5 linked regions of the Canis lupus familiaris genome follow. The protein of the gene in region 3 purifies or fractionates together with the protein of the main gene of each other region. This does not show direct contact. Links are inferred from orthologs where the notes say so. Each region holds a gene or a part of one and is shown on either strand. Other genes may lie near its edges.

The links.
Region 1: the proteins of TRIM21 (region 3) and G3BP1 purify together in Homo sapiens (affinity purification with mass spectrometry; 3 studies listed by BioGRID, with this or other methods). This does not show direct contact. The link is inferred for Canis lupus familiaris from reciprocal best matches to the Homo sapiens genes TRIM21 and G3BP1.
Region 2: the proteins of TRIM21 (region 3) and ANXA2 purify together in Homo sapiens (affinity purification with western blotting; 3 studies listed by BioGRID, with this or other methods). This does not show direct contact. The link is inferred for Canis lupus familiaris from reciprocal best matches to the Homo sapiens genes TRIM21 and ANXA2.
Region 4: the proteins of TRIM21 (region 3) and IRF3 purify together in Homo sapiens (affinity purification with western blotting; 3 studies listed by BioGRID, with this or other methods). This does not show direct contact. The link is inferred for Canis lupus familiaris from reciprocal best matches to the Homo sapiens genes TRIM21 and IRF3.
Region 5: the proteins of TRIM21 (region 3) and FASN purify together in Homo sapiens (affinity purification with western blotting; 3 studies listed by BioGRID, with this or other methods). This does not show direct contact. The link is inferred for Canis lupus familiaris from reciprocal best matches to the Homo sapiens genes TRIM21 and FASN.

What each region holds. Positions count from the first base shown.
Region 1 is NC_049225.1:58,443,105-58,447,360, forward strand, and holds the start of G3BP1 (ras GTPase-activating protein-binding protein 1), read right to left. Parts: upstream 2,806-4,256; 5' UTR 2,651-2,805; intron 2,148-2,650; exon of another isoform or gene 1,996-2,147; intron 1,940-1,995; exon of another isoform or gene 1,917-1,939; intron 1-1,916. UniProt on the Homo sapiens protein: Protein involved in various processes, such as stress granule formation and innate immunity. Plays an essential role in stress granule formation.
Region 2 is NC_049251.1:25,617,992-25,622,104, reverse strand, and holds the start of ANXA2 (annexin A2), read left to right. Parts: upstream 1-1,302; coding exon 1,303-1,350; intron 1,351-4,113. UniProt on the Homo sapiens protein: Calcium-regulated membrane-binding protein whose affinity for calcium is greatly enhanced by anionic phospholipids. It binds two calcium ions with high affinity. May be involved in heat-stress response.
Region 3 is NC_049242.1:26,901,293-26,904,039, forward strand, and holds the end of TRIM21 (E3 ubiquitin-protein ligase TRIM21), read right to left. Parts: intron 2,416-2,747; coding exon 2,315-2,415; intron 2,071-2,314; coding exon 1,520-2,070; 3' UTR 502-1,519; downstream 1-501. UniProt on the Homo sapiens protein: E3 ubiquitin-protein ligase whose activity is dependent on E2 enzymes, UBE2D1, UBE2D2, UBE2E1 and UBE2E2.
Region 4 is NC_049222.1:107,553,115-107,556,465, reverse strand, and holds the end of IRF3 (interferon regulatory factor 3), read right to left. Parts: intron 3,238-3,351; coding exon 3,045-3,237; intron 2,947-3,044; coding exon 2,566-2,946; intron 1,358-2,565; coding exon 1,242-1,357; intron 762-1,241; coding exon 576-761; 3' UTR 508-575; downstream 1-507.
Region 5 is NC_049230.1:1,059,702-1,063,216, reverse strand, and holds part of FASN (fatty acid synthase), read right to left. Parts: exon of another isoform or gene 3,035-3,515; coding exon 2,861-3,034; exon of another isoform or gene 2,810-2,860; intron 2,723-2,809; coding exon 2,522-2,722; intron 2,433-2,521; coding exon 2,310-2,432; intron 2,237-2,309; coding exon 2,121-2,236; intron 2,041-2,120; coding exon 1,906-2,040; intron 1,514-1,905; coding exon 1,042-1,513; intron 953-1,041; coding exon 765-952; intron 668-764; coding exon 478-667; intron 1-477. UniProt on the Homo sapiens protein: Fatty acid synthetase is a multifunctional enzyme that catalyzes the de novo biosynthesis of long-chain saturated fatty acids starting from acetyl-CoA and malonyl-CoA in the presence of NADPH.

The sequences.
Region 1 (4,256 bases), on a different chromosome or scaffold from region 3:
GCTTAAACTAACCTCTACCCTTTACTTTCTATTCAAAGTACTATAACAAGTCAAATAATGAAAATTACAAGAACTACTGCAAAATAGGTCAGCAACAAACATTACCAAATCTTCTGATGCACTCTTAGCAGACTGTCAGCTGAGAACAGCAAACCTAATGTGAGTTAAATAAAGAACAAAGAACTGCCTACTTTTCTATCAGAAATACAAAAGCCTAAACAGAAAGGATTTAGCAATAACAGAAGTAACCTGACTTGGCTGGGAAGAAGGAAGGCACGCTACTCTCATATTATTACAATCTGCTTCATTTGTTCTTAATAAATCCATACATGGAGAGACACTGGGCTACCAATTTGTAAATTACCAGTTTTCATATTCCTACCCAATGGAGGCCGGAGGCGAGGCAAAGAACAGGCTAAGAAATATCTGAAAGGGAAACAAAATTCTTCCTCAATTAAGGCACAAGCAAATGTCATCCTAATCTATTTTACCCTGAGCACTAACACCATTAGCTGGACTCCAAGTTAACAGTTTAAATGTATGTTATTATGTTTTAAAATTTGAAACCTAAAATGCTAACTCAATAGTTAAGACCATCTAAATAAAGGTAACTAGAATTGCTACATGAAGGCACGTTTTAAGTAAAACAATGTTACAGTCTAAAGCAATACCAACTAAACATTAAGAACTTGGACCATACAATATTTTGATCCTTTATTGCTACTTTCTGTTAAGAAACATGGAAAGTACGGGTAAATGGAAACACTTACAAATATTAAGCTTCCTTGTAGTGTTTTAGTTTGCTGAGGAGGATGTAAATGCTAAAGTTCCCTCTGTCTGCAAAAAATTCTTATTCAAAGTCTAATCCTAAAGGCTTTAAAAAACAAATAAGAGGGAGTGCATGGAGCCTGCTTCTCCCTCTGCCTGTGTCTCTGCCTCTCTCTCTCTCTCTGTGACTATCATAAATACATATTTAAAAAAACAAAAACAAAACCAAAAACAAATAAGAGGTTGAAAGCCATTCCAAGCAAAATTAATTCATTAGAGCCAATGCCCAAACTTTTGTTAGTTTTACCTCAAGTAGAGACGTTTGTGATGTCAAGTAATGGTCTGGACCTGTAACTATTTTATTAAGACAGGGAGCATAATGGCTTTTAGAAATCGCAAATATATAAGCTCCCCTCTGAAGGTGTGTTCCATACTCGCATATACTACACGCGGGAGCCGAACAGTAAACGGTAAACAAACGAAATGAACGTAGAGAGGCTTTCACCCACAGAAGATTCCGACTTTAGCCCCAAGGGCACGATTCCTAACACACCTCAATCACTCATAATTCACCGAGCATAAGCTCCAGAGACTTAATTCATATTGTAGCCGGGCACCGTCCTTTCCACCCCGACTTCACATTTCAACCCACCCATCTGAACAAACCCCCCGCTCGGCCCCGCATGTTGTCCAACGACAAAACGAGCAAGTTTTGAACTATCTCACGGACGGTCTTTCTCAAAAGTCTGCCTCGGTCAAGAAAAGACGAAAAAGGTCTAAGGTGTCAGCGCAGAGCCTGACGCCCGCGGCCGCCGGGGATTTCCCACCGTCGCGGGGCGAGTTAACAAATCTGCGCAGGAGCCCGGGCCGCGCTCGCCGGCACTTCCGCGCCGCCTTTCTCCGGAAGCTCCGCGGGCGGCGCATCCATCAGCTGGCCGTGCGCTCACACGCGGACCGCAAGCCCAAAGCCCTCCGTGTCCTTTGTCGCCGCGCCTCCCTGCAAGCCCACAAGCGGCCCCAGCACAGATGCCGCCGCGCTGGCCTCCCCGGGGACCAGTGCTCCCTCCGAGGGCACCGGCTCCAGGACGCAAACAGGCCGGGGGCCCGGCGGTCACGCGGCCCGGGGGCCCCCGCTGCCTGCCCCTTACCGTCGGCGCGCCGGGGACCGCGTCTCTCCGCCTCTGGACGTCCGGATCCACTGCAAAAAAGGCAACTCGCCGCACCTACCTCGCCGGACCGCCGTGGAGTACAGGAGAGCCACCCAAGTTGCTCAGCACAGGGCCCGGCTCAGAAAAAAGAGCGGTTACTCCTTCCACGCATCCTCCGCGCCTTCGCCGCTCCCCCCTTCCACTCCCTGTAAAACCCGGGAGCAGCAGCACTTCTGCTTCCCAAGCCCAAGCCTCCTCGCGCTCCCGGGCCGGCCCGGGCCGCAGCCCCTCGCCGGGAGCGGGGCGGGGGCGGGGGGGGGGCGGGGACTCTGCGGGCGCGCGGCAGCGGGAGAGGCCGGCGAGCAGGCCGCGCGGGGCCCCGGGCTCCCGACACGGCCCTGGGGCCCGGGCGGCGGCCGCCGCTCGCTCCCGGCCCGCGCGACCGTTGGGCGTGGCACGCGCATGCGGCGGACGCGGACACGGCCACGCGCGCCGACCGGTGAGAGCGCGGCGCGGAGGGGGCGGGGAAACTCCGCGCGCCCGGGCGCCCGCCTGCGGCCGTTGGGGGGGGCGGTGCGCACGCCTCGCGCGGAGGCCACCACCGCCACCACCGCCGCCACCACCACCACCGCGCCGCCGCCGCCGCCGCCCGGACTTCTCTCTCAGGCGCCCCGGCTCGTCTCGGCCCCGGGGCCGCCCTGCCCCGCCCCGCCCACACCCACACCCGGGCGTACCTGCGCGGCTGAGAGGGAGAGGAACAAGCTCTGCTCCACGGCACGGCGGAAGGCGAAATCCCCTCACGCAACTGCGTCCGCACACACGCGTGCTCCGTCGCCGGTCTATATAACCGTGCCTCAGCCTAACTTGCTGCGGCCAGGTCGAGCAGCCGGCTGACCAATCCCAACTGCGTCCTCTGCGCTCTTCGAGCAGCGATTGGGCACTGACTCGGGGTGAAGGCGTGGCTCTTGATTGGCTTTGACTCCTGCCTATGAGACTCTGAGGATCTCGTTTCCCTAGTAACGGATTGGCACGGAGGGCGGCCAATCACTTCGCGGGACGTCGAAAGGAGGGCGGGGAGTCCTTTGAGTGATGTCCAGAGCAGCCAATGAATGCGTGGGGCCGCTCCCATTCGTCAAGATGTGTTTCCCCTGGGCGGAGATCCGTTGTCCGTGCAGGAGCGGTTGCTCCACAAGGTGGGGCCCGTGTACTTTGGGGAAGTAAACCCCAAGCAGCTAGGAGGTGGGCGCCGGGGAGGCCAAGGGAGCCCCCGGCCAATCGCAAAGCGGGAAGGGTCTGATTGACGCGGGGGTGGGACTGCGCCAAGGAGACCGAGCCCCAGGGCCGCCGTGCCCTCCGGGGACGGTTCCGAGGCGCTCCGGCCCCGGGCTCCAGTCCTCTGTCCTTTCTTTCCCTCGCTTGTTGGGTCTAGCCCCTGAGTCCCCCTCTCCCGCCTTTTCTGCACCGTTTGGCTCTAGGGAAACCAAGTGCGAAAGTTCCCGTTGCTTGGGGTTTTTTTTCTTCCTCTTAGGGCAACTTTTTTTTTTTTTTTTTCTAATTTCCATGTGGCGGCCTAAGGGCACTGGCTGGCTCTCAGCATTAGTCAGCACTCCGGTGGGACAGTTGAGGGGACCTTCCTAAGGTCGCTGGAGAGGTCGCACGTGAGAGCCGCCGCGGAGCCCGAGAACACGGGTCTGCGCCGCCGGCTGCTGGTGGCAAGTGCCGGGGGCCCAGGCCGGCCGCGGGCCCCGCTCGCCGAGGTCTTCCCGGCCGTAGCTGCCGACGCGCCGCAGCCTGGGAGGTCTGCGCCCCGCTCGGGGCTCAGTGCAACATCCTGCGCGTCACCGCCGCTGCCATCCGGCCTCCGATCGGCCGCGCTGTGGGGCTGCCCTGGCGTCTCCGAGGGGCGGCTTGCCAGACCCCTGCACGCCCGCCCGCACGCCCGCCCGCGGCTTCCCGAAGCTCTGCTGGGGCTCGGCGGCGCGCCAGCCCGGTCCTGTCCACGTCTCTCGGGGCTTCGTTGGGCCCTCTGTTGGGCACCATGAGCGGTGTGTAAGGAGACACAGACGCCCCGGCCGGCTCTCGTTCCAGGCTCGTGGTCTCCCGTGAAGTTCTGCAGACAGTTTGGGAGTGGAGCGCCCGGAGCGCCTCTGCTCGGGGAGAAGGGGCGCCCGCAGCCACCTGCCGGGACCCGGGCGCATCCCCTCTAGCTCCCCGCGCGGGGACCGGCCCCAGACAGGGCTCGCGGCCGCCCCAGAGACCCAGCGAGCGCGTCCCTCCGGCCCCGCAGGTCCCGCTGCCCTGTGGCCCCAGCTCACTCCGCACTTAGGAAGCTCCTAGCGA
Region 2 (4,113 bases), on a different chromosome or scaffold from region 3:
AAGACCTTTTACAATCAGGATTATATCCCAGTGGTGAGACATAGTCGAGGTGGGGGATGTCTGAGAGCTGTAGGAAAGGGGGCAATTGGAATAGGTTTGGTTTTCTTTTTGCTGTGCTTAAAAATCTTCTGTGATCATTAAGAAGAGAGAGGGGTGGTCTAGGAGCTAGCTCAGGGTGAAAATCTTGCAGAAATATATCCATAAGCACAGATAAAGGCGAATCTTCTTTTCTTACATTTCCCCACCTCCATCCAACACGGAGCCTGGAATCTACTTAGTCGAAAGCGTTCCTGTAAGTTAGCAAGTGTCTGCATCAAATATTCCCTCCAAGCCAGTTTTATGAAAATATTTAGACCATGCAAACTGTTGGAAGAGAATGGAAAGCTGAATTTGCATGGGCATAATTACCTTGATGAAAAAATATTAAGCAAGAAGAGACCACAGCAGGAGATGCTGTAATTCAGACGTCAATCCCACTGTTTCAGGATACAGTTCCGCTCTATTTTCTTATTTTGGGAGTGATAATGCTGAATGACCTATCTTGTCTCAGTTGAGATAGATTTCCTGCTACTTGGGCACTCTTCATTGGCAGAGGTTGGTAGATCAATTCCGAGAACTGTGTGATTGCAAAGCTGGAAAGCCAATTCATCAGGCTATAGTGTCACTGACTGATTAAGTGTATTAACTGGAAGATGACTTCATTTTAGCCCTATTGAATCTTAAAAAGAAGAGTCTGGAATGAGTTAATGTCAGAAAATATCTCCATGGTCTTTTTCATAAACTGTCAATATCTTCTAAGCATTGGTAAACTAAGAAAATAATCACAGGTAGTAATAAAGGTTCTATTTAGGAATGGGCCAACCTGCAAAGGCTATTGATTTCAGGGTCCTTTTCAATAAGGTTAATCGCTAGTGAGAAATACAGAAGTAGGTGCTGGTTGGACAAGCTTATCACTTTTTATGAGAAGTGGAAGACTTAGTTTTATCCTGTTAGAACAAGTTGCATGAGCCTTGAGGAAGCATTTTGTTTTTGTATTCACAAATCAGTCTCCCCAGGTTCTGTTTACACAGAGCAGGATGGCTACTTCTGTAGTCCATCCGAAACTAAGACAAACCATTTCCCAGCTTTAATTTGCCCAATCATAAGATAGGAATTGCATCTATTTGCAAAAATTACTCTAATATCCTCAGATGCAATGGTCCAAGAAATAGAGATTAGTATAATGAATCACTGCGCTTCGGGGGAAAGGAAGCCTCTTCATCAATACTATTTGTTGTACTTTTTTCCCCAGCTTCCTTCAAAATGTCTACTGTTCACGAAATTCTCTGCAAGCTCAGCTTGGAGGGTGATGTAAGTATATCATTTTCACTTTGTGTAATTTTTGCAAATTAGACATCTCTCTGGATAACTGTGCTACTCTCTTTCCTTGTACATCTAAGGACAACGAGGACAACATTTAGACAATCATTCCCCCCCCTGCATTCCCCTTTTCTTCCCCATTATTTTTGCTGTTGCTAGTAGTTCAATTTGACAGATACGTGATGGCTCTAGAAGCTTTTCTGGCATCACATTAAAATTGGACAGGCATTAGTGACACTGGAGTTTTATCCTGCTATATACTTAGCGTGTCAGTGGTAGTAAGTGTCATGATGATACATGAGTTTTAATGTCATGCCCTGGCATTTTAGTGATGATTGGCATAAGCTACAGCCATGTCAAAAATGATCCTTATGTTTTGGGCTTCTTACAGTGATCAGGAAGTTATTCTAGATTAGGACTTAGACCTTTGTTGTTTTTAATTTAGCACCTGGGAAATCTTTTCTTCAGAAGAACTAGAGAACTAGGATTTTTTTGTGTGTGTTTGGTTTTTGGTTGTGTTTTGTTTTCTTTTTAGCTAAATAAGAAAGTATTCTAATTTATCATGTTTCCTTTTATTGCTTTGGCTATTAGGGAGCTCAGAATTATATCTAATTGTCTTTCACAGGAAATATGTGGACCTGGAAATTCTGATGCATCTGCTTTTTTTTACAGTTAAAAATTTTTTTAAATTATATGTGAAATTATACATAATTGCAAGTACTTTTAGAATCAAGTAGAATTTATGATATGAATAGGTGTAAATATCTAATAATACCATACATCTTTCAGATCATCTTGGCAGAAATGGCTTTTACAAGTAATACTGGTTTGTAGGTATATCATGCCAATACCTCGAAATATGCTCTCACTGAAATCAAAATACATTGAAACACTCAAACATCTGTTGACAGCAGTTTGTATTGGGTAGTACAGAACCCTCTGTATTATCTCTGGTGCTTGCCATCAAATGTTCAGATAGATGATGTCTATGCAAATACAGATTGTATGGAGTAGAGAGCCTATATATTTTTCTTATTTCTTTGAGGAACTTGTACGCACTGTTGTCCAACAAGTCCAAGAGCTAAATGATTTTTTTTTGTAATGAATCTGATTGTTAGATTGTTTTTAGTATCAGATTTCAGAAAAGGACTTTTTGTGTAGTCTTTGAAGTTACTTTAGTATGATTTATTTCTCTGTGTGGAGAAATAGGACTGCAATAGAAAATTTCATATATTCCCCCATATTTTAGAGGAAGAAAAAAGTCACTTTTCCTCAGTAATTTGATTTTCAGACAAGTGGATTTTACAGCTAATAGGTTCAATTAACTATTTATTGTTGTTTCTAGAAATTAAAAAAAATATGCAAAACTTTCAGTACTTGCTGTTTTTGGAATAAGATGACATAGCACCTAGGAAATGAAGCCATATGTGATATGGCCCAATGGCCAGATTGCCTGCCTTTGCAAATAATTGCTGGTACTGTTAATAAATAGGGAAATGTTTTTCTTAGATTTCCATCCACATTTTGTAGGCACCATAAAACATATAGTATTTCAGAATAGCCCTTTGTCCATACCTTTTCCTGAATGTATGTTCCATTTCCATTGATTTAATCTTACTGGAAAGTTCAGTAAAACTAGAAAATACTTTAATAATCCAGTTTCAGAGTTATAAATATTAACTGGATTCATTATTTGGCCAAGGCCAAGATGGTCACAAGTACATTTTGAAATTCTTTGTGTAGTCCTGAACTTAGATTTCTGGTTTATCCCGGGAAACATTTGAGAGGATGTCACCTTAGTTACTTACCTGTATAACCTGCTCATAAAACCAAATGAAATGAATGCTGGGATGCCTCATAATGTGTTGCCCGTGGGTGGAGAGGTAAGTCAGGGCACCTCAGGCTATGAGTCTTCCCAGAAACTGAACTGAGGCAAAGTCATCACATTACAATGGGCATTATGTACTTGGGGGAGGTTGTGGGGATGGAGGAGTCTTGGTGTTGAAGGTGGATAGTTCCACTGACAACCTAAACCATGTTGTCCATCTTCTTTGGCCTGCCTTTGCTGTGGGACTGGGTAGCAGGGAGGAGGAAAGCTGCAAGAGCTCTAAAGGAAGGAGAGAAGTTAACACTTGGGAAAGAAGAACTTGGGATGTAGACACATGACTGTCCTTACCTTAGTCTGGGGTGGTGGGGTGGGATGGAAGTGGGTCCATCAGATCAGACAGGGTCACTGGGCTTTGAAAAGCATTAGAAAAGGAAGAGAGTATGGTTTAAAAGGTAATTTTTAAAAAAGAAGAAATAGGAAGAGTGGTAGGCATAGGGTTAAAAGCATAACAGCAGAGGGACAGGAACAGAGGAGAGAGAGAGGAGTAGGAACTTCGTGAACACAAAGAGGATGTGGGCCAGGAAGCCTGACCACCTTGGTGTGGTGGCTTCCCTCTCACTTATCTGATAGTCTGAAACAAGCAGTCCAGCATTTTACATTTGCATTTTTTTTACATTTGCATTTTAAAGAATTGTGAGCTCAGCGATACGGGTCCAGTGGAAATTCAGATGCCTGTAGCAAAAACTTGGCTAAACACACTTGTCATTCAGGCATTTCCACATATTTTCAGCTTGTAGCAAATTGTTGCTGGCCCAATTTAAGGTTTTTTCAGAGCCATCCCAGATAAATGGTGGTTGCAAGTGCCCAGCCTTGGGTTGTCTGCTTTTGAGCTTACACTAGAAGTAGGGTAAGTGAAAGTACAGACA
Region 3 (2,747 bases):
GTTATTGAAGTCAAAGGTTATGCGGATTGATCTTCCCTGTGCAGGTTCCCTGGTGTGATAGTTTGCTTCTTGCCCTTCTCTGCTCCAGCAGATCCCTTACTCCTGCAGGTGGTCCGTGGTCCATCTAGCTCCTGGACATATTTCCACCCTTCCCTACCCTTGTCAATGTGGCCTCTTTTCTATCTTTACTTGTGGTTTGTTCTGCCAGTCTTCGGGTCATTTTCTGGGTTATTTACACTGATGTGGGTGTTATCTAGTTGTATCCATGGGATGAGGTGAGCTTAGGGTCTTCCTCCTCTGCCATCTTCCCAGCTTCTTCACCTGAGATTCTATTTTAGACACTCTGGTTGCTGGAAGGATAGCTGTACTCTCAGGGCTGTGTATAGCACTTCTTCCAACTGTAAAAGCTTAAACACAAGAGTGTTTGCTATCAACAGGTGATACTGTTACTGCAGTTCTGACATTCACACCAATCAGTTTGCCAAAGAAGCAGAACTGGTAGGAGATAAATATGAAGAGATTTATTGTAAGGAATTCGCTTATGCACTTGTGGCGTTTGGCAAGGCAGGTCCTAAATCCACAGGGCCAGGCAACAGGAAGGGCAGGCTGTAACTGTGGCAGGAGCTGAAGCTGCTATTGGTAGGAGGGTCGTCTTCAGTGAACTTTTAGTTCTGCTCTTAAGGTCTTTCACTTGATTGGATTAGGCCTACCCACCTTATCCAGGAGAGTCTCCCTTAAAATCAAACAATTATGGACTTTAATGACATCTACAAAATACCTTCACAGAAACATTGAAAAACTGGGGGCTTATGGCCTAGCCAAACTGACATAAAAAAATCCATCCTGCCTTCCATTTAGATTGATACACCTTTTGGCCAACTCCATTATCTACAGGACATGGTTGGGAGAGCATGGTAGGGATGGGGGAGCACAGGGGCTGGAAATGTAATGTGGAAATCTAAGGCATGCATCATTCAGGCTTTATTTTTAAAGGATGGCTGCTTTCTTTTTTTTTTAATAGGTATGGAGCTACTTATGCTCTGATATGTTTATGTTGGAACAGTAATCCTAAATGTATACAAGAACAAGGATTGAATGTGATAGATCAAGACCCAATACATTTAGGAGTCCCCTTTGCAAGCCATGCAAGGTGTATAAGAGATCTTACCAAAGGCCTAGAGATGGAGAGGAGAAAACAAGACTTGGGTCACATAAAGATGGCAGAGACATGTTTTGGTTGATCCAGGTGATTTGGGCCCAACATAAGTAGTTTGTTTCATGGAGGGAGTCAAAGTAATGTAGGGCAGTAATCTAGGGCAGTAATCATTCAATACTGATGTTGAAAATCATTTTATGTAGATTTTCAGTGAATTCCCTGCCACAATCTGCTTGCTGGTATCCCGACACCTCTACAGAAACAAAGTGGTTCAGAGTTCCTGGGGAAATGGGGCAGAGTCAATGGCTGAGAAAGACACCAACAGTCGGTGTTCAGAGAGTGCTACCACTGCTCCATGGATCCCTACGATCCCACCTCCAGCGGACAGAGCACAAGAGGTGCTGCGTTTCTTCCTGCATCATTAAAACCAGTACCAAAGAAAGGCCGCAGAGGTCCAGCAAAGGCACATTCAGAGAAGGTATAGATGAGGGAGCCATGGTCAGTGATGTTGTAGAAGGAGACTGTGTGGGCCTCACAGTCCAAGAAGATCCCAACTTGGCATGGAGGCACCTGAAGGTGGAGGGGAGTCTGGGGACAGGTGCCAGCCTCATATTTTTGTTTGTTCCACAGCCAAATTGTCCAGAAGCCGTTCCCAGGGCTGAGCAAAAAGTGCCCCTTCCTCTGTGCAGAATCTGTACAAACACCCAGGTCCCAGGCCTCTTTTCCTCTCACATCCACCTCCCAGTAAGCCTTTCCAGAGTCAAAGCACTGGGCTCCCAGGACCATGGGATACATGTCAAATCTGCTTTCATTTTCAGGCACTTCCTGCTGGCTGTCTCCAAGCCTCACTTGTCTCCGATCCTCTGAAAGGATGAGCCATGGATTGGCTGTGTGTGGATCCAGGGTGATGTGTACTGCAGAGAGAAGCCCACGGTCAGGCTGGGAGAGGAAGGGGAAGCAGGAGCCCTGGGCCTGTGGTGGGGGTAAGGATGAGGGTGACCATGAGCCGCACTGTGGGAGAAAATAACCTTCAGGCCTGACCTTTGAGGGAACCACCTCTCTGTCCCTGCCTCACCTACCCTGACCTGCCAGGGACTCACTCTCCACCCTCATCACCCACTTCATTCCCCAGTCCCACACTCCTGGGGCTAGTCTCACCTCCATACGTCCTCAGCATCGTCTTTAGCCCTGGCACGAGGCACACACTCCTCAGACCCGGGGAGGTAATGTCCAGCTCCTTCAGGTTCCAAGCCTCAGTCCTGGGGCAAACAGTTACAGACCTTGTCTCCATCTCCTGCCCCACCCTCCTGAGCCCTGACACTATAACCTCCTTTGTAGGTAACAATTTAATGCAAATTTATAAGCACCTGTGTTAGGATCCTTGGGGGTGGGAGGCAAGAAGATATAGGACATAGTTCCTATCCAGGCCCTCCTGGTTACATGGGCCCCCTGAAGCCCCCTGACGCAAGCAAGCACATTCTGTTTCATTTTACAGGTTAGGCACCTGATACAGATGGAATTACTTCTGTAAGGAACCCCAAGGAGTCTTGCCCATGCAGCTGGTCTCACATGGCTCTTCCTGGGAGATTTG
Region 4 (3,351 bases), on a different chromosome or scaffold from region 3:
CCAGCCCCATGCAGAGGGGAGCCCACAGCTGGCTGGGACCGGAGGACCTGCCTGAGGTCACCCAGCAGGAGCTGGGAGGGGGCCTAAGTCCCCCCCCCCCCCCACCAGCCAACAGGCTGATCCAGCTTACTGGACTGAACAATCAGTGGCCTCAACTGTTCATAGCCAAAACTGGGGTTCTAGATTCTACCCTGGGGCCCCGATCAGAAAGTAGCAACCCTGCAGTCAGACTGGATTCTAACCCATCTTGTGTCTCCTGTCTTGCTTTATAACCTTTGCTCTTCTCTAAGCATCAGTGTCTTGGTCTGTAAAATGGAGGTGACTGTCCCCTCCTCACCAGGTCCCTGGAAGGAGGTCAGGAGGTGACAGGTATCAGCGGCTCCCTGCAGTGTCTGGTCCTCATGCTGTAAGCATCTGGGTTGTGAGTTGCTTGCCAAGGAATAATGCCTAGCCCACATCAGGGCTAGCCTGGACCTAGCTAACCCCTAACACCAGGCACACAAGTGGTAACAGTGGCAAGAAACAGTTTATTGGCCAGGGTGAAGGCACAAGAAGGCAGCACCGGTGAGGAGGGGTCAGACCTCCCCAGTGACCCAGAAATCCATGTCCTCAACCAGGTCCTGGAGGTACGCCTTGTACTGGTCCGAGGTGAGAGTGAGTGGGTAGCTGTTGGAAATGTGCAGGTCCACAGTGTTCTCCAGGGAGGAAGCGCCCTCTAACCGTGCCATTTCCAGCAGGGCCCTAAGGCACGTGGGAACAACCTACAGGAGGTGGGGGGCAGAAATAAGGTGGGGTTGAGTGGACTACAACTTCCAGCAGCCCCCACCATAAACCAGGAATAACCATTAGGCCTAGGGCTGCTGGGAATTATTGTTTTCTCTGTAACTCCCACCATGGGAGGCCTGGTAAGTTTACTAGGGCTGAGATGCTGGAGGGGTTCCTGGAATGTAGGGATCCCACTCAGCAGCTGTGGTCAGAAGGACCCCTTAAGAGCTGTAGTTCCTTAAAAAGGCTGCTAGGACTTGTATTCCACTGACTTCCACATGGTTTTGAGAGTTCAAAACAGGTTTTGGGGGTGAGGGGCCATGAGAAGGACACCCAGAAGCTCCTGGGGATGAGGAACTGGTGGTTGCAAAGACTCTTGGAAGTTGTAGTTTCCCAGAGGGGCTTCTAGGAATTGTAGTTTCTCTTCCCTTTGTTAAGATCCACCCCTTAGCTCCAGGAGCCCAGAAATGCTGCACCTTGAGCATCACCAGCTTCTTGGTCCACGGCTGGTCTTGGGGCCATGGCTCCCCCACACAGAACCAGAGGGTGTAGCGTGGTGAGTGTCGGCTTCCTTTGATGAAGGCAATCAGATCTGGGGGTCCGAGATCCTAGTCAGGCATGGGAAGAGGACCCTCCACCTGCCCCTCCCTGCCCCCAAACTTGACTAACAGCCTCACCTTCTTCCTTGACCAGAAGCCCAACATGCCTACAACACCTCGACCAGATGGCTGCTGATCTAAGAAAAGTCCTGGCATAATCTTAAATGTTTCCCCCCATCCCCGCCCCCCCCCCCCCCCCCCCACCATTTGGGATAGGAGTACACTCCCTACAAGGATGTCCCCTGATTCTGGAATACAAGGTAGTTGGCAGTTTCTGCTCTTTAACCCCCTAAGGCCACAATCTCCTGATAGTGGCCACTAGCCACTGTGGCTATTTCCATTTAAATGGTAATTAATTAAAATCAAATAAAAGTTCAAACTCTCTTCCTCAGTTGCATTGGCCTAAGTACTCAATAGCCACACGTGGCTGGTGGATACCACACCGGACAGTTCAACTCTAGAGCATTTCCATCCCTGCAGAGATATTTACTGGATAACAAAGCCCTAAAGGACTTCTCTGTCCTGCATCTGTCTATCCACCCTACTAACTGGTAATAATGAGGACGATGGCAGTTAATTCCTTGAGCACCTTCTGTGCACTGGGCCCTGTGCCTCCTACCAGCTCTAGCAGAGGAGACAGTCCTCTGACAGACTCAGAGCAGTCCATCTCTTGCCTCAGGTTATAGCACAAGCAGAGCAGCAGGGTCTGAATTAGAACTCTGGGGTTTGGGGGATCTCTGGGTGGCTCAGTGGTTTAGTGCCTGCCCTCAGCCTAGGGTGTGATCCTGAAGTCCTGGGACTGGGTTCCGCATCAAGCTCCCTGCGTGGAGCCTGCTTCTCCCTCTGCCTGTGTCTCTGCCTCTCTCTGTGTGTCTCTCATGAATAAATAAATAAAATCTTTAAAAAAAAAAAAAAAGAACTCTGGGGTTTGGAGGTTTGAAAATTTTTTTGTTTTTAGAGAGAGGAGGATGTAAGGAGAGTGGGGACCAGGGGGAGGCAGAGAGCGAGAACCTTAAGCAGGCTCCACACCCAGTGCAGAGCCAGACTCGGCTTGATCTTGTGACCCTGAGGTCATGACCCAAGCTGCTATCAAGAGTCAGATGGTTCATCGACTGAGCCACCCAGGCACTCCCAGACCCCAGAGTTCTTAACCACCGTGACCACCTCTTTCTACAGCAGAGCTAAGGCTTTGCCTCCTCACCTGACACGAAGGGCCTCAGGTCGAACAGGTCTCCATCTTCATCCTTGGGGACCTCGCCGCCAGGCCTGGGACTGCTGTCAGGGAGAAGCTCCTCGCCCAGGGCCCAGTATGTGTGGCAGTGCCCCAGCCTCCGTGCCCAGAGCTGCTGTCCTGCCCTCCACAGAGCTAGTCCCCCACCCAAGCAGCTCAGTACACGCCTCACGTAGCCCATCACGGTCTTGTCTGTTACCAACACCCCGGGGTCTGGCAGTATTATTGGCTGTCCAGGCAGCATCGTGTCCCCTCCTGCTGCTGCCACCAGCCGCAGGCCCCTTGGGCAGGAGACTGTCTGCTGGAAGACTTGGCGGCCCCGATAGAAGGCAGTCACCTCGAACTCCCACTCTGGGCAGTGGCAGAAGTGACATGAAGAGGGAGTGAGATTGAGAGGGCATAAGGGGCCCTGTCACCCCAGCACATCCCACCCCAGAGCTGCCACTCACCTTCATCAGGCACCAAGAGCCGCTTCAGCGGGTTTTCAGGGGGTTCTGAGTTTGGGCAGGGAGCGGGGAGGTCTATGGTGGGGCTCAGCAAGAGTGGAGGCGTCTGTTCTGGGACCACCACCAGGCTCGAGGGCCCCTCATCTGGGAATGGGGTCAAGACCATGTCACCCAGTAACTCCTCTAATGTGTCTTCCTGGAGAGAAGCAAAAAGAAAAGGATCTGGGCATTTCTGTAGCCTTTTCCGGAGACTTCATGTGGACCAGGCCTTGGGACCCAGAGACGAGTCAGATCTGAGCTCTGCCCTCAA
Region 5 (3,515 bases), on a different chromosome or scaffold from region 3:
GAAGGTGTCTCCCCTGTCGTCCCACAGGCGGGGAGCCGGGTCCTGCTGCAGTGAGGACAGCCCACCCCAACCAGTCCCTGGGGTGGTGGCTCTGGGAGGTGTCCCTCCTGTCCCCGGCCTAGCCTACTGCTTCTCCTGCAGCCCCTGGGGGGCAGGTGCCAATGGAAGGGGGCCAGGGCCAGTGCACCCGACACCCTACATCTTCTAGTGCGGGGAGGGGTGCTGTTCATGCCCCACATGGCTTTAGCCCAGTTGGTAGGAAGAGCAGCAGTGTGGACTGATGCTGACCGCTGAGTGGGCAGGGGCCGGGGGGGCCACCGGGCACCCTGCAGTGAGGACGGTGGCCGATGGAGCTCCCCGAGACCCCCGGCCACTGCCCAGGGTGAACACGAGGAACGCCAGAGATGACACCCCCACCCCAAGGGCTCCTGGGTTGGTGGGAGGTGTGGAAAGGGGGGGCCCAGAGGGGACACCTACCCACGGCTGCCATGGCCCCTGGTGGGATGCTGGCCTCCTTGATGCACTGGCCCCTCCAGTAGGCAGTGAGGACGGCCTCCTCCTGAGAAAGGCAGCCATCTGCGTAGCCGCAGGCCACCTCCCCCAGGGAGTGCCCGATGATGCCGTCGGGTCGCAGGCCCATGGAGGTCAGCAGGTCTATGAGGGCAATCTGCGAGGAATGGGGACGTGATGGGTCACACCTGTTCTGGGGATGCCAGGCTGGCCCCCAGCACTGTCACAACAGCCCCTAGACCCCATGGGCGCACCTGGATGGCGGTGAGGCTCACGAAGGCATGGACGATGTCGTCAAAAGTGGTCTCGTCTGTGCTCAGCAGCAGCTCAGACAGCTGTAGGCCCAGGGGCCTCAGGGCCTCACTGGAGCGCAGGATGGAATTGTGGAAGCTGCTCAGGCGCAAGAGGCTCGACCCCATGCAGCGCCACTGTGCACCCATCCCTGTTGCAGAGAGAGGTGTCAGGGTGGTGGCCGGCCAGCTGCAGCCACTGCTCCCCCTCCGGGGAGGGCCTGGGGAGCAGGGTTCGCACCAGAGCAGATGAACCAGAGGGGACGCCGGCCGGCAGGCAGCTGCTGCACCTCCTGCACCTCGTGGCTGCCGTCCTCGCTGCCCAGCACAGTGTAGCCCCGGAAGGGCATGGCGGAGGGGGAGCTGGCCGCGATGTCATTGAGCATGGTCACGAAGGCCACGTCCCGGCTGTGCTGCTGGCCCTTTTCCAGCAGGCACCGCACGGCCTCTGGGGTCCGCCCGCTGGCCCGCAGCAGACGGGGCAAAGTGATGTGTGGGGTGGTCGGCCTGGGTGGCCGCGTGTTGGGCTGGAGGACGACGTGCACATTGGAGCCGCCAAAGCCGAAGGAGTTGATGCCCACGTTGCCTCCGCGGACCGGCCGGGGCCGGTCCACCACCTGTAGCCGCCCATCCTGGAGTGCCAGGATCTCAGGGTTCGGGCTGTGGAAGTGCAGGTTGGGAGCCCAGAGCCCGTGTTCCAGAGACAGCAGCACCTGCGGGGGGCTCGCAGTTGGCGGGGCAGCCGGCCCTGTGCTCCCTACCCTGCTGCCTGCCACCACGCACTCCGTCCCCCGGCCTCACCCTGCCACAGCCCCAGGACCCAGTGGCCAAACCACACCCCACACCGCCCCGCCTCCCCGCAGCCCACTCCAGGTCCTGGTTCTCGCAGGAACTGCAAGCAGGTTACAGCAGCCCCAGGAAGCCAGAAGCTGCCAGTGCACGGTCTCCCCAGGACCCGGCCACCTGCTGGGGCTGTTGTGGCCACTGCCACCCACTCTGGCCGAGTGTGGGCCCCGCAGGGCACCAGAGGCCGGCATGCCTCAGCACAGCCCGTGGGAACCCTCCCCGCCTGCCAGGAAGGATGGCTCCACAGCAGCCTGCTGACCTTGGCCAGAGCCGCGAGCCCCGAGGCGGGCTCTGGGTGCCCCATGTTGGACTTTGTGGACCCGATCAGCAGGGGCTCCCGGCGGGTGCTGCAAAGGGCTCGGTCGATGCTGTTCAGCTCCTGGGGGTCGCCCACCTATGGAGGGCGAGGGGAGGATCAAGGCCCACCCGGGTGCCTCTTGGGCGGGGGGCGTGGGGGCGGGGGCGGGCTCTCACCTTGGTGCCTGTGCCGTGGGCTTCGATGTACTCGAGGGACTCCGGGGCCAGCCCCGCCGGCTCGTACAGGGAGCGGATGAGCTGCTCTTGTACCTCCCCGGAGGGGAAGGTCACACCTGCGGGAGGAGCCAGACCTCAGCCCCCAAGCCACGACCCCGGCTGGCCCGGCCAGGGGAGGGGGGCACCCACCTTGTTCCTTGAAGCCATCCGTGTTGGTGCCGGCATTCAGGATGGTAGCGTACACTCGCCGGGCCAGGGACTTCTTGGTCAGCAGCATGGCCACCACGGCCTCCGCCCGGCAGTAGCCGGCTCCTGGGAGCAGACGGCACATCAGGCCCAGGGGCTCTGGGGCGGCAGGGCAGGTGCCGTGGCCCCCCTGGTCCCCCTGGCCCACCACTCACCAGCCTCATCGAAGGACTTGCAGATGCCCTCTGGACTCAGCATACCCAGCTTCATGAACTGTACAGAAGTGTTGGGCTTGAGCAGGATGTTAATGCCACCCACGATGGCACACGGGCACTCCCCGCTGCGGATGGCCTGGTAGGCGCTGTGCAGAGCCATCAGGCTGGAGGAGCAGGCCGTGTCTAGAGCGACGCTGGGCCCTGCGAGCAGGAGTACAATGTGGGGCCCTGGCGGCTCTAGTGGGGGGCCCTCCACTGCGAGTCCGGGACGCTGACCCCTTGGCCTTGACCAGCCTTCCTGGGGGAACCAGAGGCCCAGAGGGGCTGGGGGGTACCCACCTTTAAAATCAAAGAAGAAGGAGAGGCGGTTGGCCATCATGGCGCGCTGGCAGCCCACCATGCTGTAGCCCAAGAGGGTCTCGGGGTCTCGGCTGAGGGCCTCTGAGGCCTCAGAGCCACTCACGCCCACCCAGACACCGGTGCGTGTCCCTCGGAGTGACGCTGGGTTGATGCCTGCAGGAAGCGACGGTAAGACCTCGCGGCCTCTCCAGCCTGGGTCTGGGCGACCCCTTCCCCGCTTCACTCTGGAGGGGCCCCAGCAGGGCAGCCAGCCCAGGTAGGGCTGAGGACAGATAACTGGGTCACAAGGAACCCGGGGCCCAGGGGACGGTAGGGCGCCAGGCTGAGAGACCAGAGAAAGCCGAGGTGAGGACAGAAGGCAGCATTGTCCCCAGAATACTCCCCTGGCCCCTGGTGTCACCAGTAGGGTCTGGCAAGCCCCAATGACCAATGAGCACCCAAGCACCAAGGGCAGCCTACCCTAGGACAGGCCAAGATAAGGAAACAGAGGGAGACAAAGGCTGAGTGTCCAGGCTGGGAAAGGAGGGGGGGACCCTGGCCAGGACCCGGGGAGTGGCATCCAAGGTCTCCGGGTGAGGACTGGGCAGTGGGAAGGCCTCTGCTCGCCCTTCACCCCGGGGTGCTGTGTGCCTGC